Oryctolagus cuniculus: one gene and its partners. The protein of the gene in region 4 purifies or fractionates together with the protein of the main gene of each other region. This does not show direct contact. Links are inferred from orthologs where the notes say so. Each region holds a gene or a part of one and is shown on either strand. Other genes may lie near its edges.

Evidence for each region.
Region 1: the proteins of FGFR1OP2 (region 4) and STRIP1 purify together in Homo sapiens (affinity purification with mass spectrometry; 3 studies listed by BioGRID and IntAct, with this or other methods). This does not show direct contact. The link is inferred for Oryctolagus cuniculus from reciprocal best matches to the Homo sapiens genes FGFR1OP2 and STRIP1.
Region 2: the proteins of FGFR1OP2 (region 4) and STRN3 purify together in Homo sapiens (affinity purification with mass spectrometry; 5 studies listed by BioGRID and IntAct, with this or other methods). This does not show direct contact. The link is inferred for Oryctolagus cuniculus from reciprocal best matches to the Homo sapiens genes FGFR1OP2 and STRN3.
Region 3: the proteins of FGFR1OP2 (region 4) and PDCD10 purify together in Homo sapiens (affinity purification with mass spectrometry; 3 studies listed by BioGRID and IntAct, counting the BioPlex papers as one, with this or other methods). This does not show direct contact. The link is inferred for Oryctolagus cuniculus from reciprocal best matches to the Homo sapiens genes FGFR1OP2 and PDCD10.
Region 5: the proteins of FGFR1OP2 (region 4) and STRN purify together in Homo sapiens (affinity purification with mass spectrometry; 4 studies listed by BioGRID and IntAct, with this or other methods). This does not show direct contact. The link is inferred for Oryctolagus cuniculus from reciprocal best matches to the Homo sapiens genes FGFR1OP2 and STRN.
Region 6: the proteins of FGFR1OP2 (region 4) and SLMAP purify together in Homo sapiens (affinity purification with mass spectrometry; 3 studies listed by BioGRID and IntAct, with this or other methods). This does not show direct contact. The link is inferred for Oryctolagus cuniculus from reciprocal best matches to the Homo sapiens genes FGFR1OP2 and SLMAP.
Region 7: the proteins of FGFR1OP2 (region 4) and MOB-like protein phocein purify together in Homo sapiens (affinity purification with mass spectrometry; 3 studies listed by BioGRID and IntAct, with this or other methods). This does not show direct contact. The link is inferred for Oryctolagus cuniculus from reciprocal best matches to the Homo sapiens genes FGFR1OP2 and MOB4.

What each region holds. Positions count from the first base shown.
Region 1 is NC_091438.1:60,282,506-60,286,005, reverse strand, and holds part of STRIP1 (striatin-interacting protein 1), read left to right. Parts: intron 1-431; coding exon 432-538; intron 539-646; coding exon 647-774; intron 775-2,216; coding exon 2,217-2,399; intron 2,400-2,694; coding exon 2,695-2,912; intron 2,913-3,500. UniProt on the Homo sapiens protein: Plays a role in the regulation of cell morphology and cytoskeletal organization. Required in the cortical actin filament dynamics and cell shape. Part of the striatin-interacting phosphatase and kinase (STRIPAK) complexes.
Region 2 is NC_091443.1:44,426,408-44,429,907, forward strand, and holds part of STRN3 (striatin-3), read left to right. Parts: intron 1-3,209; coding exon 3,210-3,377; intron 3,378-3,500. UniProt on the Homo sapiens protein: Calmodulin-binding scaffolding protein which is the center of the striatin-interacting phosphatase and kinase (STRIPAK) complexes.
Region 3 is NC_091435.1:112,788,378-112,792,437, forward strand, and holds the start of PDCD10 (programmed cell death protein 10), read left to right. Parts: upstream 1-1,260; 5' UTR 1,261-1,440; intron 1,441-1,651; exon of another isoform or gene 1,652-2,210; intron 2,211-4,060. UniProt on the Homo sapiens protein: Promotes cell proliferation. Modulates apoptotic pathways. Increases mitogen-activated protein kinase activity and STK26 activity. Important for cell migration, and for normal structure and assembly of the Golgi complex.
Region 4 is NC_091440.1:124,188,674-124,192,173, forward strand, and holds part of FGFR1OP2 (FGFR1 oncogene partner 2), read left to right. Parts: intron 1-1,359; coding exon 1,360-1,473; intron 1,474-3,500. UniProt on the Homo sapiens protein: May be involved in wound healing pathway.
Region 5 is NC_091433.1:165,985,547-165,989,046, forward strand, and holds part of STRN (striatin), read left to right. Parts: intron 1-1,472; coding exon 1,473-1,580; intron 1,581-2,704; coding exon 2,705-2,791; intron 2,792-2,881; coding exon 2,882-3,051; 3' UTR 3,052-3,500. UniProt on the Homo sapiens protein: Calmodulin-binding scaffolding protein which is the center of the striatin-interacting phosphatase and kinase (STRIPAK) complexes.
Region 6 is NC_091441.1:92,027,418-92,030,917, forward strand, and holds part of SLMAP (sarcolemmal membrane-associated protein), read right to left. Parts: intron 3,319-3,500; coding exon 3,147-3,318; intron 1-3,146. UniProt on the Homo sapiens protein: Associates with the striatin-interacting phosphatase and kinase (STRIPAK) core complex, forming the extended (SIKE1:SLMAP)STRIPAK complex.
Region 7 is NC_091440.1:69,971,548-69,975,486, forward strand, and holds MOB-like protein phocein, read right to left. Parts: upstream 2,801-3,939; 5' UTR 2,791-2,800; coding exon 2,113-2,790; 3' UTR 218-2,112; downstream 1-217.

The DNA of each region.
Region 1 (3,500 bases), on a different chromosome or scaffold from region 4:
CCCTGTCACGGTAAACGCTGTCCTTGCTCTCCCCGGGACTGTCCTGTGTTGACCCTCAGAGCTCACTCCCGTTTCTGGGTTTGTTTTCTCTTGCCGGGAAGCCTGTGGCAGTCAGTGCTTTTGGCCATTCTTGTTCAAAGTCACTCGTTGAGCAGCCTTTGAATAGGCACCTGCTTTGAGTGAGCACATTGTTAGGCGCTGGAGAGAGAAAACAGAGTAAGCTCTGGTCCCCCAGCCAGCACAGCGGGAAACGGTGACGGAAACACCGGGAGGGGAGAGTGAAGCCTGCCTTTGCTCCGGGGGCCTCTCAGCTCTCCCCTTTCTGTTCTCGGTGTTCCCTGTATTATCCCACGTGAGCTGGGATGAAGGAAGCCAGGGCTGCTCCCTAGATTCCCCAGCCTACTCCTTTATGAACTGGCTCTCGTCCCCAGGGTCCTGCTCAACATCATGTACCTGATCGTGGAGACCGTGCACCAGGAGTGCGAGGGCGACAAGGCTGAGTGGAGGGCCGTGCGACAGACCTTCAGAGCCGAGCTGGGTAGGACCCTCGGGGTCTCCTTCGGGCCCGGTCTGGAGCTGAGTCTGGGAAGCTTTGGGAAGGTTTGGAGCTGCTGCGGTCGTCCTGATCCCTTTTTGTCACCCCTAGGCTCCCCACTGTACAACAATGAGCCATTTGCCATCATGCTGTTTGGGATGGTGACCAAATTTTGCAGTGGCCACGCCCCTCATTTCCCGATGAAGAAAGTTCTTTTGCTGCTCTGGAAGACCGTATTGGTGAGCACCTGGTTGCAAGGAACTCAGGCAGTAAGGGGTTGGACGGGGGTGGGGGACTGCCCCTGTGTAGCCTTTTGAAGCTTGAATGTGAATGTATAATCTCTATAGTTAAAAAGTATTGCGCAAGCGCCTGAAAGGAGACGTCAGAGCAGTCGCTGCATTGGGCCCCTGCAGCCCAGGAGGACTTGGTCTTTGTGTCAGGTTAGATTATTGCTCCCAACCCCCGGAGAAGCTGTTGTCTCAGTCGTAGTGCAGCCTCCGTGGGGGACAACCTGGGGAAAAAGGGGAGCTGGAGTTGGGGCTGCGGCTGTCACTGCGGCTCCCCTGCCCTCTGAGCAGGCCGACTGGGGCCAGGGCTCAGTAAGATGGGGTCCTCCTCAGTCATCTCATGTTTCTCTTGGCCACGTGTCCTGTGGGTTCCCCTCGAGGCCTTACTAAAGGCAGAGCGGAACCGAATGGCTCAGATGGTGGAACTCAGCAGCCATATGTGCCATGCGAGGCGTCTCCTCATCGGGAGGTGTTTTGATGTGAAGCTTTCTTTTATTATTATTTAAAGGTTTATTTACTTGAAACACAGAGTTACAAAGAGAGAGGGAGAGACAGAGAGAGAGAGATCTTCCTGTTGCTACTCCACTCCCCAGATAACCGCAATAGCTGAGGCTGGGCCAGGCCAAAGTGAGAAACTCCATCCAGGTCTCCTGCATGGGTGCAGGGGCCCAAGCACGTGGGCCGTCCTCCTCTGCTTTCCCAGGTGCAGAAGTGGAGCGCCCAGGACCTGAACTGGTGCCTGTGTGGGCTGCTGGCATTACAGGCAGTGGCGTAACCCACTGTGCCACAACACTGGCCCGTAGTTGAGTCTTAATTTGAGTAACCAACACCGTGTTTCCAGTTGACTGACACACTGGCGTATACAAGTATCGAGAGGAGTGAGCCTCGCAGCCTGCCCTTTGTTTTTGGAGGGGGTATCGCGAGCCTGCATTTTACTCTCCTCTCTCTCCCCTCTTGCTGACTAGGGACACTGAATCCCCTCGGGGCTGGCAGTGGTTCCGTGTGTAGAGGTTGTGTGGGTTGTAGTGCTGTTGCGGTGGCTTATTTACCAGAGAGGCAGACAGAGAGCGCCCGTCTGGTAGTTCACTCCCCACAGGGCTGGGCCTGGCAGAAACTGGGAGCCAGGAACTCAGTCTGAGTCTCCCACATAGGTGGCAAGGACCCAAGTACTTAATTCAGTTACTGCTGCCTCCCAGGGTGTGCAGTAGCAGGGAGCTGGGATTAGGAGCAGAGCTAGGACTCAAAGCAGGCACTGCAGTGAGGCAGGGATGTGTCCCAAGCGGCGTCCCCACCACTAGGCCGAGTGCCTTCCACTGGGTGCCTTTGAGCCTGGCGCAGTGCCCAGGGCAGCGGTGGTTCTGCTGACGCCAGCTGCACGCCCCTGTCTGGTGCAGTGCACACTGGGCGGCTTTGAGGAGCTGCAGAGCATGAAGGCTGAGAAGCGCGCCCTCCTGGGCCTCCCCCCGCTGCCCGAGGACAGCATCAAGGTGATCCGCAACATGAGGGCCGCCTCGCCGCCAGCGTCTGCCTCCGACCTCATCGAGCAGCAGCAGAAAAGGGGCCGCCGGGAGCACAAGGTGAGGGCGGCAGAGGGCTGTGCAGGTGCACACAGAGGCAGGGCTGCCGGCGTCCTCAATGGGCAGGTGGAGGATGCCAGTTCAGCAGGGGCACTCTGACCGTGGCCCCTGGCCCTGCACAGGGTGCGCTCGGCTGCAGCACTGTTGAGGCGTTAGACGAGAAATCGCCATTTGGTCCCAGCCTTTCCACCGCTCTTGCTCTCTCCCCAACGCCTTCCAGTCTCCTGCCCTCTCAGCCACACCTGCCAACGCTGGCTCAGTGGGCAGCCCCTGTCAGGTCTGCCTCTGTTCGTAGGCTCTGATAAAGCAGGACAACCTGGATGCCTTCAACGAGCGGGACCCCTACAAGGCCGACGACTCCCGGGAAGACGAGGAGGAAAATGACGACGACAACAGTCTGGAAGGGGAGACCTTTCCCCTGGAGCGGGATGAGGTGATGCCTCCCCCACTGCAGCACCCCCAGACCGACAGGCTTACCTGCCCAAAGGGGCTCCCGTGGGCCCCCAAGGTCAGGTGAGTGTCAGAGCTCCACAGTGCTCCTGGTCCTAAAGCCAGAGCCCGTACACCCTCACACCTGGCCCCTGTGCGCAACCCCAAGCTGTGCTGGCCTTGCTGGCCCTTGTGCGGCCCCGAGTCAGTAGTTTGAGTCAGCTCTTGGTTCGACACACTAGTGAAGGGGGTTAGGAAACGCAAAGCAGGGTGTTACCGTGAACCCGTCCCCACCCAGCCCTCTTAATGGAAAAGTGGAAGGATAAGGAAGACTTTCCTAGGGATCATAGCTAAGGTAGGTAGGGTAGCTGTGGGAAAATGGATGGCTAGGAAGGACCTAGAGATAGAAAACTGGAATCTGGGTGGTGGGCAGTAGCTTGAGAAGTAGGTGAACACGCGAGGGGAGGGAGGTGAGCCCCTGTCCTGGCCCAGGCAGAGCCTCTGCTCTGAGTACCTGTGAAGGGAGTGCAAAAGAGGCCATCCAGAAGCTTCTGCCAGGTGTGCCGATGGCTTAAAACCGGAAAACGTGACACCTGTGCAAGATCAGGAGCGTGTAGCACTGATTATCGAAAAATGTTAAATACTCAGGGTTGGCACTGTGGTACAGTGGGT
Region 2 (3,500 bases), on a different chromosome or scaffold from region 4:
CAGCCTTAGAAGTCTCTCCCACAGAAATACCTGCCTATGTCTCCAAATATTTACAAGGGTATTGGCCATAATTATAAAGGGTTAAAATGTTTATGATCTACTTGTTCTTTTAGCTTAACATACACTTGCTGCATTTTGTCAGGCATAGTGGGAAGCACTGTATCAGGTATAAGATTTAGTTTAATGAGAAAGGTAACAGGTTAAACAAATAAGGGGGATAGAAGTCTGTGGTTACAAATTGTTACAAATGATACATAGAATATTGTGAGAGTAACAGATGGAACCTTCTTTAGATGAATAGTCAGAAGATGTTTACCTGAATACTAACAGCTGGGGCAGGCATTTGGCCTAGTGATGAAGACACCTGTGACTCCTGTTGGTGTGTGACCCCTATTTGGTAACTAGCTTCTGCTCCTGACTGCAGATTCCTGCTAAACATACCCTAGGAGGCAACAGTGATAGCTCCAGTAGTTGGATACCTGCCACTGATGTGAGATACCTGGATTGAGTTCCTAGCTCCTGATTTTGGCCTAGGCCCAGCCCTGGTCATCATGTGCATTTGCAGAGTAAACCAGTGATGAGAGCTTTTGCTTGATGTCTCTGCTTCTCAAATGAATATGTAAATAATCTTAAAAATAAATAAAATAGTAACAAGCAGAATCTAATAGATAAAAGAGAACTTTCAGTCAAGGATTTAAATCAGGAAGTGACCTGAAAAAAAGGTAGAGTTAAAAGGATGACTGTGACTCTCTTTGTTTGGTTTTTAAAGATTTATTTGAACGGCAGAGTTACAGGGAGAGAAGGGGAAAGACAGAGATCTTTCATTCGCTGGTTCACTCCCCAAATGGCTGCAATGGCCGGAGCTGGGCCAGGCCAAGCCTGGATCCAAAAGCTTCTTTTGCGTCTCTCACGTGGGTGCAGGGGCCCATGCACCTGGGCCATCCTTTGCTGCCTTCCCAGATATATTAACAGAACTGGATTGGAAGTGGAACCAGCTAGGACTTGAACCAGCAACCAGGATGCTGGTATTGCAGGTAGTGGCTTTACCTACTATGCCCCATTTTCAACCCCAACTTTGACTTTTGTGAGAAGAAAATAATGGAATGAGAGGAGTGGAAACAACCAATTCGGAGGTTGCTTATAATACAGTCCAGTCAACTAGTGATGTTGCCAAGACGACAGTGGTGGTGCTAGAACAGTTAGAAGTAGATTTAAGGTTCAGTGGGCAAATAATGTAGAATTGTCAGGATTTGTTGATAAATTGTATTGTGCAGGTAAAGTGATCAGTGAGCGACTCTTGCTTAGTTGTGTTATTTTAATAGCTTTTATCTTAAATCACACCATAAAAATCACTTGAAAAAGTGCATAATTCAGTAGTTCTTACTATGTTCACAGGGCTGTGCAGCCATGACCACTATCTAATTTCAGAACATTTTCATCACCAGTGCTGGGTTTTTGACATGAGCAACTGAGTATGTGATGGTAGCATTTATGGAAATGGAGAGAGAATAAGTGTGATGAGATGTAAGTCATTGAGTTCATATTTTAGGCATATTAAGCAATGGCAGTATTAAAGAGATAATGTGCAGATGTGAGCTCAAAGAGAAATGGGTTGGAGGTAAAAATATGATGTCGTCTCTGTACAGATGATACTTAGAGCTGTGCGAATGAATGATGCAGTGAGAGTGTGCTGTGTAGGGTAGGAAGAGAAGACACCTGGGACTGAAGTCCTTGGTAACTGACATTGGTAGGATAGCTAGAGCTAGAGAGCCAACAAGGGAAACGGTGTGACTTTAACAAGTAGGGGGAGGTAATGGAGAGTGTGAGGTCATGAAGCATATGCAAAGAACATACTGTTTTGGGAAGCAGGAAGCAATGTGCATTTTCAGATATTGCTGAGGTCCAGTAATATGAAGATTAAAAGGTTCCTTCTTACAAAAGACAAACAGGTCTTCTGATTTTAGCTGGAGAATACTGAGGTAGACCAGAAGGACCTGTTTATATCTTTCAGATCAGATAATATGAGTGAAAAGCAGTATGTTGGGAACAACAACAAATGTTTGGTATCATCAAAGAAAAAAGTTAATTAAATTTCATAGATGGCATTACTGGTGATTTTAGCAAGGGTTATTTTGGTGCAGTCATATCAGAAACTATAAATTATAATTATTTGAAGAGTAAATGGGAGGTGAAATGAATTTATTTGATGTGTTTTTCTGCCATTCAGCAGAAAATGTTAATGAAGATTTCTAGTTTGAGCTGAATGATTCTCAAACTGTGCCCCGCCACCCCTCCCCACCACCACCATGGTGGTGATTCCTGTACCCATGATAGTGATTCCAGGGAGGAAAATTTGTGTAATAGATAGTAAACATTGAAAGCAAGTTGGTGAGTTCAGTGTACCTGGTAGAATTAGCCTTTGTTAGGAAGAACAATTCCTTGCTTATATGTGAAAGAAAGCAGAGTAGATTACAGATAAAGTGGCAAGAAATGAGGAAATTAAGTTGGGAACTGAGGATTGTGGAGATAAATATTCCTGGAAAGTAGGAGTTCACTAGAAAAGCAGAATTGTCTCAATTGTCATATGTCTCAATTGATGGATAGATAAATAAATTTGGTAATATCTGTACAATGAAATATTATTTGATGATAAAAAGAATTTGAGTACCGCATATGCTAAAACATGGATGAACGTGGAAAATGTTATGCTGAGTGGAAGAAGCCAATCACAAAAGACCCTACACATACTGTGTGATTGTGTTTATATAAAATGACCAGAATAGGCCTATCTATAGAAAGAGAATAGATTAGTGGTTGCTTAGTGCTGCAGAATGGTGGGGAAGAGGACTAGGCTAATCAATGATGAAAGTGTCTTAAAATTGATTGTTGTGGTGGTTGCACAGATCTGTGACCACACTAAAAAAATTGAATCATACCCTTTAAATGAGTGAGTGGGATGGTATGTAAGTTATATTACAGAAGTTTTTTTAAGTATTTGTTCCTTATAGAAAATTGTGAAAATACAGAAAAGTATTGGTGAGGGGAAGAGATAAAAAAATAACTTATAACTCCACTGCCTAGAAGTAGCCCCTATGTTTATTTTGTTTTATCTTCTTATGTATTTAATTATATGGTGAGTTATCTTTATAAACAAAAACATTATTTTTCACTTATTGTAACTAATATTTTATTTGTTTGTTTCTTCCCAGAGCCAAATGTCCTAGCTGGCACTTTAGTTGCTCATTCAGATGCAGTCTGGGGTCTTGCTTATAGTGGCATAAAAAATCAGTTACTATCTTGTTCAGCAGATGGCACTGTTAGGTTATGGAATCCACAAGAAAAATTGCCATGTATTTGCACTTACAATGGAGACAAGGGTGAGTAAAATTTACATGTATGAGAAAAACTTATGGAGGATAAAAAGGAAAAACAATTGATTTTATTTCTTTGCTATTCCTAGTCATTTATTGTATGACATCATAAATACACCATAGTGCTTT
Region 3 (4,060 bases), on a different chromosome or scaffold from region 4:
GCATTACAACCACCTTGGATAACAGGTCCGCAGCGGACAATCTCAGCATCCAACGTACCCGCAGACGCTGAAGAAGAACGCAAAGTTATTTTCTAGGGATACAGTTCGGAAGTAATTCTGTATCAACGACGAGACGTTTGCTTTTCATCAGCTACGTACCGATCCAGAATACCGTCCACCCGGTCCTCAATCAGTAGGGGTTCCCTCAATCTTGAGACCTCCCACAACAGTTTGAATCGTGCAACTCAAACCAAAAACACCAACCACACCCTTTATACCCAGGGTCAAGCGACCTTTCTTTCTTTTTTTTTTTTTTTTCCTCCTCAAAGTCCAAAAATGTGCATCTTTCACCCGAAAGGGTTTGCCCCGGTTTTTCCAGCCGAAGGCAGACGGTCTGAGCTGTGCCCTGCTGCAACTGCTGTGCAAAGACGCTTCCTCCCGGGCAGTGTGCGGACGCCCCGGAAAACGCGCCCACGCTTACCTCCCGCACACCTGCCACCCTCGGCGGACGGCTGGAGCTGAGGCTCGAAGGGACTGCACTCCGCTCAGCTCCCGCTCCTGCTCGGGTCTCTCCCGGGAAACTACGGTCCAGGCTGCGCCTTCGGCTTCCACCGGGACCCAAGCTCCGCCTCTCCCTCCTCCAGTTGGCGAACTGGGCAGCTGTTGCTCCTCCCCCTGCTGTTCCTGCTGCTGCCGCCCGGGTCCCTGCCCGCTCCCTGCACTTTGGAAGCTGCTCCAGCCGCTTCCCTCGTACCGGGGGTCCCCCTTTCCTCCCACCCTCTCCCCGCTCTCACACCTGGACTTGTTCCCTTGCCGCGCCCTGGCGCCTCCGCAGGTAGCCCAGGCTCAGCCCATCGCTCCCCAACCTGCGGGTCTGGGGCTTGGCGGAGCTGCTTATCCCGGCCGCGGAGCGTCCCCGCACTCCCTGCACTCCAGGCTCCCTCTCTGCCCGCGCTGCAGACCCATTCCACCGGCCCCACGTTCCCTACCTCGGGCCCCCCCACCCGCTTCCGTCTTCTCCTCCGGCAGCCCGCCCCCTCCTTGGGTGAGGCGCCTACGGGGCCGACCCTGCACCCTGATTGGCGCAGGTGAGAGCCGGCCCCGCCCTTCCTCCCCTAGCCTTGCACCCTCTCTCTCCCTCTCACCTCCTCCCGCAAAGGCCGGGAACTCTCCTACTATTGGCTACGAGTGTCCCCACCCATCGCCTTAGGCTCTGCCGTATGGCCTGCCGGGAAGTGTAGTCCTAGGAGCGCAGGAATTGCAGACGACGCCGGCGAGCGAGACTACGAGTCCCCATAGGCCACTGCGCCTCTCCGGCTGGGCAGGATTCCGGACAACGCCTGGTTCCTCTCGGGTCCTTCCGGCGTCGCCGGAGTGAATTGATCCGGGAGTTGAAGAGGGCTCCAAAGGTGGGAAGTGAAGTCAGTGCCTCAGTTGCCGGTAAGGTGCGGGTGTTCTGCCCCTATCCCCGTGTCTCCGCGCGCGGTGGAAGAGGTCTGGGGTCACACAGGGGCCGGGGCTGAGGCACTCGGGCTTGGTACTGGCTGGCGGAGCGGACGGGGCTGGGAGCGGGGCCCTATGGGCGTAAGCGAGGTTACCCTACGCGAGTGGCGTAAAGCGGGTTTGTAAATGCCGCCTGCCCGCCCCGCTCGGGCCTGGACGCCTCCAGGAAGTGTGCTCTAGGTGGGGGCGGAGGGGAAGGGCGAGGTTGGCCTCTGGTTCCCCCCGAGAGGAGAGAGGGCGGATGTGCCTGGGGTGGGGTCCTCCGAAGGTGTGGCTTGGGGCGGGAGAGGTAAGGCTGCTGTTTCCCCCTTGCTTCGTAAGTGTGGCTGGGGAAGGAGGGGTTGCTTGGAAGTCTTCGCTCCGGGGTGACTGGGGTTATGCCCTTTGAAGGAAAAGGAGAACGGAGTAGGAAGAGTCAGATGTTGACAGATCGGCGGATTCTGAGTGTTTTGAGATGGGGTCCCTGAGCAGAACCGCTCGACCCTGTTGAGGGTGTGATACCCAAGATAGGTTTGTTTACGGCTGGAACTGCTTTCGAAGAGCTTTCCCGTCAGGATGCTGTTGAAGAAATTGAGGGAGTAAATGACGTGCCCAAGGTCACACAGGCAGGGACTTGGTCCTGAACAGGACAGAGATGCCGGCGGAGTCACAAAGTGCGGAGACGGGCCGTGTTTCTTGAGGAAGGTGGAGGAAGTGACACAGTAATGGTATTTTATGGATTTCTAAGAAGCTATGAGTGATTGAAGGGTGACTTTTTTTTCCCTCTCTCTCTCTCTCTCTTTTTTTTTTTTCTAAACTGGGGTGAAATTCCTCACTGAAGCACTTTCTCTGACCTTTTTGAAAAATAAAAAGGATCAGTATCAGTTACGTATTTTGTCCTTTATTGGGGCTATATTAACGATCGACTTCTCCCACAGTCCATTTTTAAAAGTAGATAGTGAAATAGGAGAAAGTCATTTAAACAGTGTATTCCATCCTTACTGTGAAAAGGATATATTCCTTTCCCTTCCTGCCTTAGGTGGTTTTTCCACTCTCATGTTGTAAAACTGAGAACAGTGGGGATGGAATTCTTTAACAAAACTTACTGTGCACTTTTTTTTTGTTTCAAATAATGCAACATTAAGGAGAGTTTAGTGTGCTCATTACTAGAAAAGAAGATAACATTGCATTTCTTGGAGGTAACATATTTTTGTGATTCATTTGCTTCTCCCCTCTTTGATTCTGTGTGTGTGTGTAAATAAAAGAATGAGGCTCTTACATATTTTAATTTTCTCAGCATCATCTGTGACTTTTTAAATTTTTTTAAAGATTTATTTTTATTTATTTGAAAGAATTACACAGAGAGGTAGAGACAGAGAGAGAGGTCTTCCATCCAACAGTTCACTCCCCAGATGGCCACAACCGCTGGAGCTGTGCTGATCTGAAGCCAGGAGCTTCCTTCAGGTCTCCCACGTGGGTGTAGGGGCCCAAGGACTTGGGCCATCTTCTACTGCTATCCCAGGCCATAGCAGAGAGCTGGATTAGAAGTGGAGCAGCTGGAACCAGAACTGGCACCCGTATGGGCTGCTGGCGCTTCAGGCCAGGGCTTTAATCTGCAGCGCTACAGTGCCAGCCCCTATCTGTGACTTTTAATTCATTCTTAGTTTGTATTAAAGAATGGAAAAGCAGGACACATTTCATATGGAGTAGAAACTAATGCACCTCTCCCAGTCTTATCTCCTGTAATTGTTACGACCCAGGACAGCTCCTCAGTATTAATACTGAATAGTTTTTTTTTTTTAATAGAAATGTGGGAATATGTTCATTGATGTCAGGATTTTTTCACATTAAGTTTATATTCATAAATAATCTATTTGCAGTTGGCAATCATCTGTCATGGTTTATTGTTATCTAAGTTGACCATTGAAATACATTGTATTTTGAACACACTATAAATATTAATATTAAATGTGTGTAATTTTTAAATGCAGCAGTATTTTCTAGGATCAAATGTATCATATTCCCATATTATGGAAGTTAAGATGGTCTGGAAATTGATACAACTTTAAAATGGAAGGAGAGGTATGATAGTATAGAATCAAGTGAAATCGAGAATAATAAGCACCATAAGCAAAATAGTGCACCTGTAAGGAAGAGTCAACCAAACAGGTGGAAAATTGTGTGGAGTTAACTGGCTTTGTGTCAAATTAGAAAGGTGAAGTAGTTTAAGTAGACCATAGATGCATTAGTAAGTGGTGGTAAGCAAGAATGTTAATACATTTTCTAGATGGCAGTGTAAATATTTGCTTTTGTTGGGCACGGTGTGAAATGAGTTCTGACTTTTGGCATGCAGCTGTGTGGTTATGAAAAGAGTTTTTGAACTAGAGAAATTTTGGAAATAAGTGAAGTTAATATAATCTACTTGTTCAGCATATATCAGTTTTTGTTCTTGGTTCAGTTTACCATGAATTTTTCTTTATCTCTGAGATTCATTTCAGTTTTGATATTTCACCTCTGCTGGAATGTCATTGGAATGTTTCTCTTACATTTATCATCTTCCGGCCACATGCTTGAGTAC
Region 4 (3,500 bases):
TGTGTGACAACTGTACATATTAAGGAACTTAATAATGGGTATTTCATTTACCACTTAGTAAAACAATAAACTAATAAAATTGGTTTCATATTATCTAATTATGCTGTTCATCTCCTAACCAAATAGAAATCCTTGAATATTTAACTGATAATCTGTAGACTATAAAATGTATTCATTGTTAATGAAACTATCATAAAATCATTTAAATTTAAGTATATGACTATCCTTTTAAAGTATAAACAGGAATGTTCTATTTTAAAGTATAAACCTATTTTTTTGTCAGATAAATGGAATCTTGAGAAATTTCCAAAGGCCCTTATGTTCTTTAATCTAAAAAATTAAAAATTTGAAGACTTAGGGTGAAGAATACTGTGACAGAAAATGTATGAAATAAGATTCTGTGGCTTGCTGGTCTCATCTGGTAGCAGCTGTGACAGAAGCAAGTGTTTTCTAAAGCACATGAGATTTTTACCATTCACCAGAGCTGGTTTATTAATTAGCAAAGTTAACCATTTCTTGAGTAGCTATAAACTATCTGTTTTCATTAGGTAGAATGAATTCTTCATTTAAGTGCTGATCCTTGCCTTCCATAGAATGACTATTCAGTTTCTTGTTATTAATTCTAACTAATACATATTAATGTTTGTGATTTTGATTTTTCCCAAAAAGGAGACACTTGTGGCTCAATTAAAAAAAGTATTAACACTTGCATTGGGTTAATTATTATAGGTAACAATAAGATGAGTGAATGATGAAGTTACATTACCATGTGAGCTTGCAGTGCAGTAGGAGGTACAGACACAGTCATAGCCAGTACAGGGGAGGGTCTGGTGAACCCTAAATTAGAGATAGGGATTGTTAGTGCTGGAGAGAGAAGGAGTAGTTCCCACAAGGAGACTCTGGAAAGGTGTCCAATGAAAGAAAAAAAAAATCCATCTGAATCCAACCCTGAGTTAACAGAGTAGTCAACAGGCAGAAGTGGGTGAGCAGAGAAACTTGTATGATAAGCTGCAAAAGAATGGAATTCTAGTGTGTTTAGGCACTAATGCTCTGATATGCCTAAATAAAAAAAGATTTTATAGCACATTCAGGGGTAAAGACCCTTTTGAGACTGTTGTTATATAGATTTTATGACACCAGGTGTCTTTGAGCACACATTTAAAACCCAGTAGAAAGTTTGAAAACTGATTTACATCCAGATACTCATTTTTTTACATTATTTTTGAACAGAAGCCTTTTTGGAAATCTTAAAAAAACAAACATTTCAAACAGTTGGCTAACACGCATGAACTAACACTCATTCAGTTTTTAAATTACGGATAATGTCCGTATTAACATTATAATGACTCTGTACTACAGATTGACATGGTACATCGTAACAGCTCCGAAGGATTCTTCCTTGATGCATCTCGACACATCCTTGAAGCACCTCAACATGGACTGGAGAGGAGGCGCTGGGAAGCAAATCAGAATGTACACTAAATAAAACAGTCAACTTTGGGTGTGGATGGAAGGGGGGGTTCATGTAAAAGTTCTTTTACATGGAGTTTTCCTCCTGGATTAGATCAGGGAAGAAATGAACTCTACTACAGAAAGCTGTGTTTTTGATAGCTGTACTATTCATGTAGAAACTTTAAGTCCATTCTCAAACAGAGAATTATTTAAGTGCAGCTTTTAAAGACCGCTTAGCCCAGTTCATTGATTTGCTCTTTATAGCTCTTGTAACTTTTGTTGCCACAAACCTGTCGTTCTCTTTCTGGACCTTGAAGACATTTTCTTGGCATTGACTTTGACTTGATTTTATAAAAATTTTGGTCAAGCTATTGAGTTGAAATGTTTTAATTCAGATTTTTGATAGATGTAGTCCTTTGAGTTCACAAATAAACATGCCTTTGTTTAGATGTTCTGAGTAAATATAGTAGTGCTCTTTCCATTGTTCCTCTATTCTGCTTTTCTTTTTTAAAACTCCCTTGTGGCAGGTCTTTATTCAGTACAGCAGAAATGAATCTGGACAAAAGTTAGAGGTGAAATGTTTTCAAATAGTTCAAGGATCTCATTGCTGACACTTCTTGCCTTGAACAGTTTTCAGAGCACAGGCCTTTGCTCTTTTGCCCATTTAAAGGTCTGTGATACTTCCATTAACATTTTATAATTTATAAGCGAACCATTAACTGGGCTTGTGAAAATACCATTCTGTTTTAAATACTGGGTTTTTCCTTGGGGTGATCTTGTTAGCAGAGCCTCTGTCCTGAAAACATTATCTTGTTTTATTCCATCTTAAAGGCAAAGACTTGCTTCCTAGTATTTGAAAGGCAGAGTTACAGAGAGCAGAGGCAGAGAAAGAGAGATCTTCCGTCTGCCAGTTCACTGATCAGATGGCTTCAACAGCCAGAGCTAAGCCCATCTAAAGCCAGGAGCCAGGAGCTTCTTCCAGGTCTCCCTCATGGGTGCAGGGGCCCAAGGACTTGGGCTGTCTTCTACTGCTTTCCCAGGCCATAGTAGAGAGTTGGATCAGAAGTGTAGCAGCTAGTACTAGAACCAGCACCCATCTGGGATGCTGGCACTGCAGGCATTGGTGGTTTATCCTGCTACACCACAGCACTGGTCCCCTTATATAGTTGTTTTTGTTTGTTTGTTTGTTTGTTTGTTTTGTTTTGTTTTTCTTTGCTTTTGACAGGCAGTTAGTGAGAGAGAGAGAGAGAAAGGTCTTTTCCGTTGGTTCATCCCCCAGTGGCCGCTGTGGCCGGCGCGCTGCGACTGGCGCACCATGCTGATCCGAAACCAGGAGCCAGGTGTTTCTCCTGGTCTCCCATGTGGGTGCAGGGCCCAAGGACATGGGCCATCCTCTGCACTCCCGGGCCACAGCAGAGAGCTGGACTGGAAGAGGAGCAACTGGGACAGAATCCGATGCCCCGACCGGGACTAGAACCCGAGTGCCGGTGCTGCAGGCGGAGGATTAGCTATTGAGCCGCGGCGCTGGCCCCTTTATATAGTTTTTTAATTTATGACAGTGCTGTAGGACTGACCAAATCATAAAGTGAGAACACTATGGGAATTCAAAATTTGTACTCCTTACCCTTATTCAGTTTGCTGCTGCACTGGTCTGTACTTACTTGCTTTTAAGCAGAGTGCTCCCCTTACAGTGGGAGGATTAAATCCTTTTAACTGTTGGCGAATATGGTAACTACTTGTGTCGCTACCATCATTGAATCCAGGGCTGCCCAATACAACTTTCTGAAATGATGGGAATCATTTTCTGTATCTGTGCTTGCCGACATGGAAGCCATAGCCTCATATGGTACCTGAGCACTTGCACTGTCACTGAGGCAACCAAGGGACAAAATTGTGACTTTTTAAAAGTTATCTGATTTTAATTAAATGGCATGTATTGGATAGCATAAATTAGCATTTTATTGTGGCTTCTGAGTACTAACATTGTATAGATTTCTCCATTAAAATAAAAACCTGCATTTTTTTTTTTTTTTGGTTAATTAAGAAGA
Region 5 (3,500 bases), on a different chromosome or scaffold from region 4:
TTTCTGATCCAGCTCCCTGTTGGTGCGCCTGGGAAAGCAGTGGCAGATGACCCAAGAACTTGAGCCCCTGCCACCTAGTGGGAGATCTGGATGGAGTTCCTGGGTCCTGGCTTTGGCCTGGCCCAGCTTCAGCTGTTGAGGCTATTTAATGAGAGAACCAGCGGATGGAAGGTCTCCTCTGGCTCTCCCTTTCCTCTTTCAAATAAGTAAATAAATATTAGAAGAATTTTAAATTGAAGTTCAAACCAAACATGCTTCAAGGTGAAAGTGAATTTCATATAGAATTGGAAATAATGAAAGATGTTTGTTGTTAGAATAAATTGTTTCTTCTTTTTGATATCAATAGTTATTTTACTTTGATAAGTCAATGGTAGTTGAAGTAGATTTTGAATACCTGTGAACCCAGTGTAAAGATTAACATTTCTAAGTCACAGGCTAACTGTGGTATTTAGAGGATTGTTTCAGATTGTTACAATAGCTGTTATGGCTTCAACTCATTTTAGTATTCTTTGCATTTTGCCAACTTTATCTGATTTACCGTCAAATGGAAAAACTTCCTTAAAAGTATTGGAGTGGATTTTGGCACAGCAATTACTGCTTGGTACACCCACATCTCATGTGGGAGTCCTGGTTCCATTTCTGATTCCAGCATCCTGCTAATATGTAGCTTGTTGACTCCTAGTTGGCTTCCTGCCTCCGGTTTTGGACACCCAGATTGAGTTCATGGCTCCTGGCCTCATCTTGGCCCAGCCCTAGTTGTTGCCAGCATTTGGAGAGTGAGCTAACACATTGAGATGCCTCTGTGACACACTCTCTCTATCTATAGATCTATCTATCTATCTATATGTATATATCTATCTATCTATAGATAGATCTATCTGTATGTATATATCTATGTATATAGATAGATAGATACATATAGATAGATAGATATAAATAGATGTCTCTCTCTCTCTCTCTCTCTCTCTCTCTCTCTCTGCCTTTCAGGTTATCAGCCAGTGATGGCTGTTGTTATGAAGAGGATTAAGAACCTCTCCTTGTTATGTTAATTTAAAGATGATAACACTGTAGTAAAGAACTTTCTAGGTAAAAAGAGTTGAACTTTAAATTTGAAGATTATCTACATGTAAGTGATAGTGAAACTTAACAAAAAAATACAGAATATTGTAAAATGATAAATATCAGGGACTCTGCTAAACCTTAGGTGGCAGCCATAGATAGTAGTCATAGATAGTAAATGGTAGAAAAAGAAATTCTGATTCTTCACTACCTCCAAATTTATCAATGTAGTGTACTTCAAGCAATTCTCATTTCCTGAAATTGAAATTGTGGAAACAGTTGCAGAATAAATGAACTAAAGACAAATTAAAATCATCTCACTTACTTTTTTAGTCCCTTAGATGAATTTCAGTTTTCCTTTATGTGAAAAAAAAATAGCCATAACTAATTTGTGTTGCTCTTTTTCTTCTTAGCAATCAACTCTTCCTGCCAAATAAATAGAGTCATCAGTCATCCCACTCTGCCAATCAGCATCACTGCTCATGAAGATAGGCACATCAAATTCTATGATAACAATACAGGTACGAATTTATTTATTAAGTAGTGGTTTTTGTTCAAGCAAAAGAAGAAAGAAACCCTACAAAAAAGTTGAGTACTTTTGGTGTCTGTTTTAGTGGCATGATAATCAAAGAATAGATACCAGACACAGGCAGTTCCTTGTCTCAGTTTCTCATCATGCCACCCAAATCTGCTAAGGCTAGTTTTCATTCTAAACGATATTTGGATCCTTTTTGTTTAATAGTGAGTAGATGCTATATTTAGGTCCTGGAGCCAATGTTATCACTAGGAGCACAATGAAAAATTCATTCAAATGCAGATTAAAGTGATCTGTTGCTATGATTTATTGCAATATGTTGGGGGAAAATAGAAACATTGGAAGTAAAGGGTATGATCATTATACATGGTAATAAATTATTGTATAGTATTATTCAGTATTGAGTTATTCAGTTAAAAACTAGCCATATTCTGTGTTGCAGATGGAAAACTTACAGGTCATTTGGTTTTCTTTTCCATGGACTAATCTTCTCTGTGTTATAATACTGACTGTTTGGTCCTGATTGATTTGAATTGGAGCATGAGGGGCTTTCACAATTTTTGTTGGGTTACATTTCACCAGTCTAAAAGGAATTCATGAAGAGCTGTGCAGAGGAAAGCATCTTTGTGTTTGCAGCCATATTTATCTGAGTTACCTGTTATTGTCTTTGTTAATATGTTAACTTGTGCTGGCTTTGCTTAACTGCTATGGATAAGTAATTTCATGTTTTACATCCTTTTTGTATGTTGTGTACATTATAATTGTGGCCATGTTTCCTTTCTGTTGCTTTGTCTCATTCTTTTTTCTCTGTGAATTTAAGCTCTCTATTCCTACCACCCATATAATTTGCCTGTAGCTAAAGGTTGCAAAGTAGGTGATTAATAGTTTCTAAATCCTCATTAGTGGGAATGACTTAAGAGGATGTTTGTGTAGAAATTAGTAACTTCCATAAGCTGCTTTTGTTCTTCATTATGGTGACTGAAGGTAGGAGACAGGCACATGTTTTAGTTGATGGAAAAAACTGTTGATACAGTAAGTAAACAGGGTAGCTAATGTATATTCAAATGAGGAAAATCATCAATAAATAGGAACAATCTTCTTTTTCCAAAGGTAAACTGATTCACTCGATGGTAGCACACCTAGAAGCTGTTACAAGTTTAGCAGTTGATCCTAATGGCCTGTACTTGATGTCTGGCAGTAAGTACATCAACTATGGATTGTTTCTTTGTTCTTATCATCTTTATATAAGTGTAATTTTCCTTTTCAATTTCTTTTCATTTGGTATAGGTCATGACTGTTCAATACGTTTATGGAATCTAGAAAGTAAGACGTGTATTCAAGAGTTCACAGCTCATCGGAAAAAATTTGAAGAATCGATTCATGATGTAGCTTTCCATCCATCCAAATGCTATATAGCCAGTGCTGGAGCTGATGCGCTGGCTAAAGTCTTTGTATGACACAAAGCATCGTTTTCATCATCTAGTTCTTTATAAATAATCAACTGCACAAAAGAGATACAGAAGACCAGGGCAAGAATCAACTCGTCCTGCCCTTTTGTTCTGCTGAAGGAGCACAGAGAACATTTGTTAAAGTATAGTTTTGCAATTCGTATACAGTTTTCTAAAACTAAAGTTTGTTCAGGTTGCTGCAAGCTCAGCTGAATCTGTGAACCTGAAAACTGTTTCAAATTGTCCCCTAAATAGACCCTTTTAATTCTGAGGTGGTTCTAATTCGCTAGGTAGGTCCTTAGCGTACACAGGTTTAGCTTGTCCCTATTGATACAGCGTGCTGTAATGGATAATTAAAAAGCTTGATGGCTGGGAATGAGTAGAGAAAGAGCAGAAACTTAGACCTAGTTCTCCTCTGACAACTCTTATTAAACATGTTAGGTAGTCAAAACAGTAAT
Region 6 (3,500 bases), on a different chromosome or scaffold from region 4:
ACCTCGCTCTTTAACTTTGTCTTTCAAATAAATAAAATAAATCTTTATGAAAATAAGATTAATATTGAGAAGGATGAAAATGTATAAAAACATTAGACAGGAAAGAAGGAGGCAAGAGGAGGTGGTTAGGGTTAACACATAGGTTACTATAAGGGGAGAAGAAATGTATGAGTAGAGAAGAGATAAAAAATGACAGAAACTGCTACCTAACAATGTTTCCAAAACAAACCTAGGTAGAATACTGAAGAATGAACTAAAGAATAAGACTCATGGGCTTTATGACAGTTTTTTTCCAGTTGATTTGAAGGTCTGTGGATTTCCTTCCAGGAAGCAGAAGGTTACTAGCCAGCTGCCATGGCAAAGTCACTGTACTTAGCCTAGTTTCTACACCTTAAACTATAATCAATTCTCAACGATCCATGATATAATTTGACTCTTAACAATAACTAAAAAGAAGATGTAAAAAGTTCTTTGTTCATCAAAATTTTCCCTTGCTTTCCTTTTCCACCATTCTTACATCCAGCCTGCCCTTTACATTAAAGCATTTAATCATTTCTCCATTCCAGGACTTCTGAAGCTGAACCAGAGGAAGACAGCTCAGACAGGAAGATCCTGCTGCTTACTTCCAGCAAGTGGGTGGATGGAAAAGACTCTGGCCCCACAGGAAGATGGTGAAGCCAAACAACTTTTTTCAATCAGTTTTTGCAGGGTGAGCTTATGTGCTCAACATTTTATGAATTCTTAAATTTTGGGTATTCCTACTAAATTAAAATATATAGGGGGCTAGCACTGTGACATGGTAAGCTAAGTCTCCACCCACAGCGCCAGCATCCCATGTGGGTGCTGGTTTGTGTCCCAGCTGCTTCTCTTCTGATTCAGCTCCCCTCTGATGGCCTGGGAAAGCAGCGGAAGATGGCCCAATTGCTTGGGCCCCTGCACTCATGTGGGAGACCCAGAGAAAGCTCCTGGCTCCTGGCTTCAGATCGGCTCAGCTCCAGCTGTCGTGGCCATTTAGGGAGTGAACCAGTGGATGGAAGATCTTTCTCTCTCTGTCTGTAACTCTACATCTGAAATAAATAAATTAAAAAAAAAAAAAAAAAACCTATAGATGCTTTCTAAAGTCAAATATAAAGGTGATACATCATTATTTTCTCTTAATATTGAAAATTAAAATTTACTTTTCTCATGTACTTTTTCTTTAAGAGCTTATCTGAAAGCTGCAACACATATATAAAATTTAATTATTTAATTATGCAGCTTTAATTTCACATCTTGCTTGGATGTCATTTTCGTTCCATTTTGCTTCCTGAGGTGAAAAACAAGCTCAGCCCTGATTAAGAAGGAACTATCACACAATATGATCAAAATCTTTGGTTCATTTTTATAAAAATAACCATATTTGAGCTTGCTTATCTTGTGATAGGTTAGCCTGTTAAAGTGCAGAAGATACACAATCATGACACTGCATATTAAATATGATTCTATGAGAGAAGGGAGTAAAAGGGGAAACGTTGAAAAGAATAAGTGTGTGTTAATGAAAGGTAATCACTCATTTGCAGCAGATTATACAGTGATAAGAACCTCATTAAAAGATATTTTAGTTACAGACTAGTATCAAATATGTTGACAACAGGACAAACGGAAAGAGCAATTTCACATCTTTACAAAAGCATGACTAACTATACATCATTTTACAATGGAAAACAGTGAACAAGAACATTGAAAAGAAACATATTGACAAAATCAGACATATTTTTAAATGTGCTGCATTTAATGCAATCGAAATACTATCAACAATTTAGATGCTGTGACAACATGCCACTGCCATTTGTGGAAACAGTTAAAGCATTTTGCACTGATTGCTCAGTGACTAAAAGCAGGCAAACAAATAATGCAACAAAATGGCTAATGCATTCACAGTAACATACAACAGATTCTCCTTCCAACCATATCAGTCTTCCCAGATTTTGAAAGAATTATGGCTTATGGACTGGAAGGACACAAAGTGCTTACAGTATTAAATACCAGAATATTTACTTTGGCACACAATTTGTGTTCCAACCAAATAAAATGAGATTTCTCCTAAAACACATATCCTTAGCAAGGCAAAAATGAACATATTACAAAACCAATATGTCCAGATGAAAATAAAAAATGTTACAGTTTTTTTCTTTAGGAACAAACATGATGACAGAAGAACAACAATCATTTCCAAGTTCAGGATACTACAAGGAAAGGAGAGGGCAAAGAAAAACTGCATTGATAAAACAAATCTTCTAGAAATAATTTTGGGAAAATTCATTTTTTAAAAAAAAGTGTTGTCTTCAGATCCTTTCCAACTGATAAAGAGCCCTTTATTTAAGAGAGTCAGCTACTAGAGTGGCCCTTGATCTGTAGATCAAGCTTTAGCAGCCTCTTCCATCCCCATGCCAGTCAGATGTAGATGCGGAGAGTGGTATGAGGCCAGCATTTACTGAACACAGCTCTTACTGCCTTGCAGTCAATTCCAAAGCTTAGGGAAGTAAATGGTACCTGTCTTGGTTAGGAGAAGTCGGGAGGGTCTCTGCTTTAAAGTCGACTCTTACCATTTTTAACATCATTATTTAAATAGCTGCCACCTCCAGGTTTTAAGCAAAATGACATGAAAGTGAACATGCATATTTGTGAAGGAGAAAGGGTATGGGGGAAGAAAAGTAAAAGGCTACAGAACATGTGTTTGGCTGGCTGGCTGTGAAGTAAATTTTAAGTAACTTTTCAGGTCATTTTCACCTGAAGGGTTCATACAGCCTTACAGCATGGCTCTATTTTGCTTCCCAAAAGTATTCTAAGTTAAATAACACATTCTCTTTCAAAGATAATAGATCAAGATCTGGTACAAAGGACTTCTCATATAGGTCAACTAACTGCTGGAGAAAAAGTATAATTTTGCATATTTGTATTTTTGAAACCAAACACCACTGATGAATACTGCATAATATGGACCATGTTACACAGTTAGAAATCACCAGACAGAATGCTCCAAATATCAACTTTATGACAGGTAATGTGACTTCTGCTTCCCTATATTTCTAACTAGCATGGATATCTGATTTGCTTTTGGCTTTAGGTCCAACCATAATTGGACTCACAATGTCTTTTCGCTTTACCTCTTTTTGTACATCCTTTGCTTGGTTTTCAGCCTTACTGAGAAGAATTTTTAAATCAGCTGAATCACGAAGATGCTGTTCTTTCAAGGATCCCATTTGGTTCTCAAGCTCTTTCCTAGTCATCTGAAGGATGCTGAGATCACTGGTAAGCTCTAAACTCTGCTTCTGAGAACTGCAACAAAAATATCAAGATAATTAATCACAGATAGAAACTGGACACAGAAGGAAGTCCAATTCCTTACACATCTTACTAGGAGGACAGAATGGATTCCAGTGAATGAAAGAAAAGTAGAAGAAAGAATGAGATATTTTGAACATGTAAAAAGCATTAAAGCACTGAATAAAGTTTTAAGT
Region 7 (3,939 bases), about 54 Mb from region 4:
CCCATGGTGCAGATTAGCAGGAAGCCAGATCAGAAGCAGAGTAACTAGGATTCAAAGCAAGCACTCCAGTACTGGATGCTGGCATCCCAAATGGCAACATAACTGCAGCACTAAACACTTGCCCCCTCCACCCTGCCTTTTTTTTTTTTTTTTTTTCTTTTGGAGTTTTTTTTTTTCTTTTATGATCAATTCCAAACACAGTACAGGGAAGATGGAATGAATACGAAAAAATATCATTTTATTTCCCCATTAAACACTAAGTCATATTATTCAAAATGTGTTTCAAAATCCTTAGCCAGATAACCAATTCCAGTCACTATTTTAGTTCTAATGTTCACCAAGAAAATAGTCAAGTAACAGAAAGCCATTATGAGAAACCATCAAGAGAGAAGAGCTACATTGCTATCTATAATTTAACTTAGTAGGTTATTCTCTCAATATTCAGCAAGTTTGCTTAAAAATTACTATTCCATTAGTTTATAGTGACATTAAAAAAAAAAAACGTATAATTTCAAACTCAACATTCCTTTCACCGTGAACATAAAACTTCTAAAAGATAGCTGTGAGTTGGGGTACAATAAGGACTGTGGCTGCTGGGACAGTACTGTTCAAAGCCAAAACGATTGGCAGCCTTGGAAAGGCATAAACTATATACACACACTCTCAGTATGCTACTATTTCTCATATTTTTTTCTTTGCATACTTGTCTCATAATATGGTATAAATAATTTCTTTGAAGACAATCAAGATGAATACATTTTCATCTTCATTTCAAAATAACTATTTTAAATGAAAAATTTTCTCACATTTGTTAAATATGTCTTAGAGATGAGTTTAAGTATTTTCTTCACTACATGTATAATTTTTCTACCCTATCTTAGTGCCTCATTACAATCAATTTGGCAATAAGACCTCTCTAGTACTCCATGAAAAACTGCATTCAATAGATTATAAGATCGTTACATCTGCACCCAAATTCTTATATGCTACAACAAAGTCTAAAAAATGTATGGCCATTCATCAACACCCTTGCATCAATTATTGCAAATAACCTCACATATGTATTTAATTCAAATTTTGTGGAGAAAGGGTACAAAATAAATACTACAATATTTCTTTAACTCTAATGCTGCCTAGAGTAAGATGAAAAGATTAATATTACTGAGAGGAAGAATCAAATGGCTTTAAGGTCTGTCTTCCAAGTAGTTAGAAAATTTTCACAAAACAAAGAGCCTATGCCAACACATCTTTCTTGTAGTGTAATATAATTGCTAATATGAGGTAAATCTGTAAGCAATTAATACAAACATGAGTATAAACAGGTATAAGTCACCACTAAGTCACAGTCTGGTGAAAGACTTCTCAGCTAAAGTATCTGGGGACAGGATTATGGGAAGTGAGAAGGGGGTGAACAGTTTTCCAGTGGGAATACCTTTTATGTGCCTTATCATTAGCATCAACTTATATGTAACAGTCCACTGCTGTAAAAAGGTATATCCTTTCCAAGTATGCTGGCCTAGAATATACTTTATATAGCATAGTAAGATTATATAAGAATTACTAATGCTTCATTTGCATTTATATTTGGATATACACATAATCATAAATGCATATCAAAAACTATAAACAGAATTTTAAAGTACTTTTATCTCATTTTGGAAAAGTTTACAGTTTATGTTCTATAGAATTTTCTATAATATCTAAATTCAGGGACAAAATGAAAGGAAAACATTACTATCTCTTTAGTAAATGGTTTGTGCAAGACCTCAAGCTTACTCATCTTTTTATATATGGGTTTATTTGATGAGGATTGTAATCCAATGATTGTTTAGCAGCAATTTTACCAAACTGTAAATTCTTTTATTAACAGGCATTATAAACAGATAATACTAATCTTATTTAAAAAACCATGAGTGCCACACCGGTGAATATACAGCTTATGAATAACTTAAAAAGTATTTCCCCTTTTAAAAGGCAACACACAGCATACAAAAACCTAATCTAAACAAAGAAGCTATAATATGAATACATGATTGATGTGTCTAAAATGATATATACAGTACATAATGAACGTTAATTATGTGATCAGTACATTTTTCTGTACGATTCCCTTCATGCTTCACTTTCTCCAGAAACTGAATTCTGAACTTCCTCTTCTAAAATTGGTACAATCAGGTTATCCTTGGACATCAAATTGTATTTCATCACAAATTTAGTAAACCGATGACACAAAAAGGTTTCATTTTCATATTCATCAAATATCTGCCGGTGATGAAAATAAGCATGCGAAAATATTCTATAAATCCTACGGCATACTGATCCTAGTTTTGCTACAGATGATTCCTTTATGCTAACCCTGCTAGGAAAATATTTATTGCTATTCAGAAGACATGCAGCACCATCAAGCGTGTGTCTAGTATAGTCTATAGCAGGACACTCTTTTGGAGTTTTATGAGCTGCACACAGAAAAATCCACTGTTCAGTTGCTGTCATTTGAGTACAAGTATCTGGATGGCATTCACTCTGAAGTTTGACAGCAAGTCCATTTAGCTCAAGACAGAATTGCCTTAAATGTTCATACTTCCATACACCTTCATCTTGGCCTTCAGGTGGTTCAAGAATTTTATCAATATTGGAGCAATCTGCTCTTATGTTCTGCTGAATATACTGCTGAACAGCAAGTGTACTGTCCATTTCATCAAAGGATTCATCAGGCCAATTATAGAAATCCTGCGCCTTGGTGCCCGGCCTGTTCCGCCTCAACACTGCCGTCCCCTCCGCCATGACCATAGTGCCAGAATCTCCACCCTGCCTTTTAAGAAAATTTCTATTCATCTGTGAGTTTTTGAACTCCTGTGACCATGCATCACTCTGGACTTATGTTGAGAACTGACCCCAGGGAGGCACGCATGGGTGCAGAGCAACCTGGTAGGAGATATGATGGTGCTTGGCTGCCACAGGAATGCTGTAGTCATACCATTAGAATCTGGATACACACAGAGGAAGTGAGGGAGGGATGCAGGAGGGGAGGGAGAGAGGAAGACAAAAAAGAATCTGGATATTCTTGCTAAGGTAGAGCCACCAGGAGGAATGGTTGCCGAGTGAGAAACAAATGAAAATTATATATATATGTGTGTGTGTGTGTGTGTGTATTATATATATAAAAGTGAGAACAGTAAATGTGTTTTTAAAAATTTTATTTTTTAATTTTGATTTTCAATTAGTTATAAGCAGTCAATGTAACATGTAGATACAATTCTATGAACATAGTGATATTGCCTTCCTCCTTCCCTCCCTTTCCCTCTCTCTCTTGCTCCAAAATCTCTGAAATATCCCAAGAAATCCTAAAGAACACTAGCCTTTGACCATTAGTTCTGATGTTCCCTGTCTTCATGATGCAGTTTATTTTATTTCCTTGAAAAGTAGAGTTGCAGAAAGAGAGAGAGGGAGAGATGGGAGAGAAAGAGATCTCCCATCTACTAGTTCACTCCCCAGATGGGTGCAAGGCTGGTGCTGGGCCAGGCTGAAGTCAAGAGCCAGGAACTCGGTCTCCCTCATGAGTGCAGGGACTCAAGCACTTGGGCCATTCTCCACTGCTTTCCCAGGCACACTAGCAGGGATCTGGGTCAGAAGTGGAGAAGCCAGGACTCCAATCAGTGCCATAATGGGATGCCGGCATTGCACGTGGTGGCTTAACCTGCTATGCCACAACGCCAGCCCCATGATGGCAATTCTTACCAGTGTCCTTGGCCATGGCTGTTAGTACTGGCATGTCAGCTCTTTCTCTCTGGTAATTACATTGGCAGGACTCGGTCTTCCTGTATTTTCTCTTGTGTGAAGCCTGAGACTACCCTTTCAGTGAGCTTCAAAATTTGCATGTTGGCTGCAAAGAGAAAAGCCATTTACTGCTTCCCTGAGAAGTTGGCTGGCTTTTTGCAA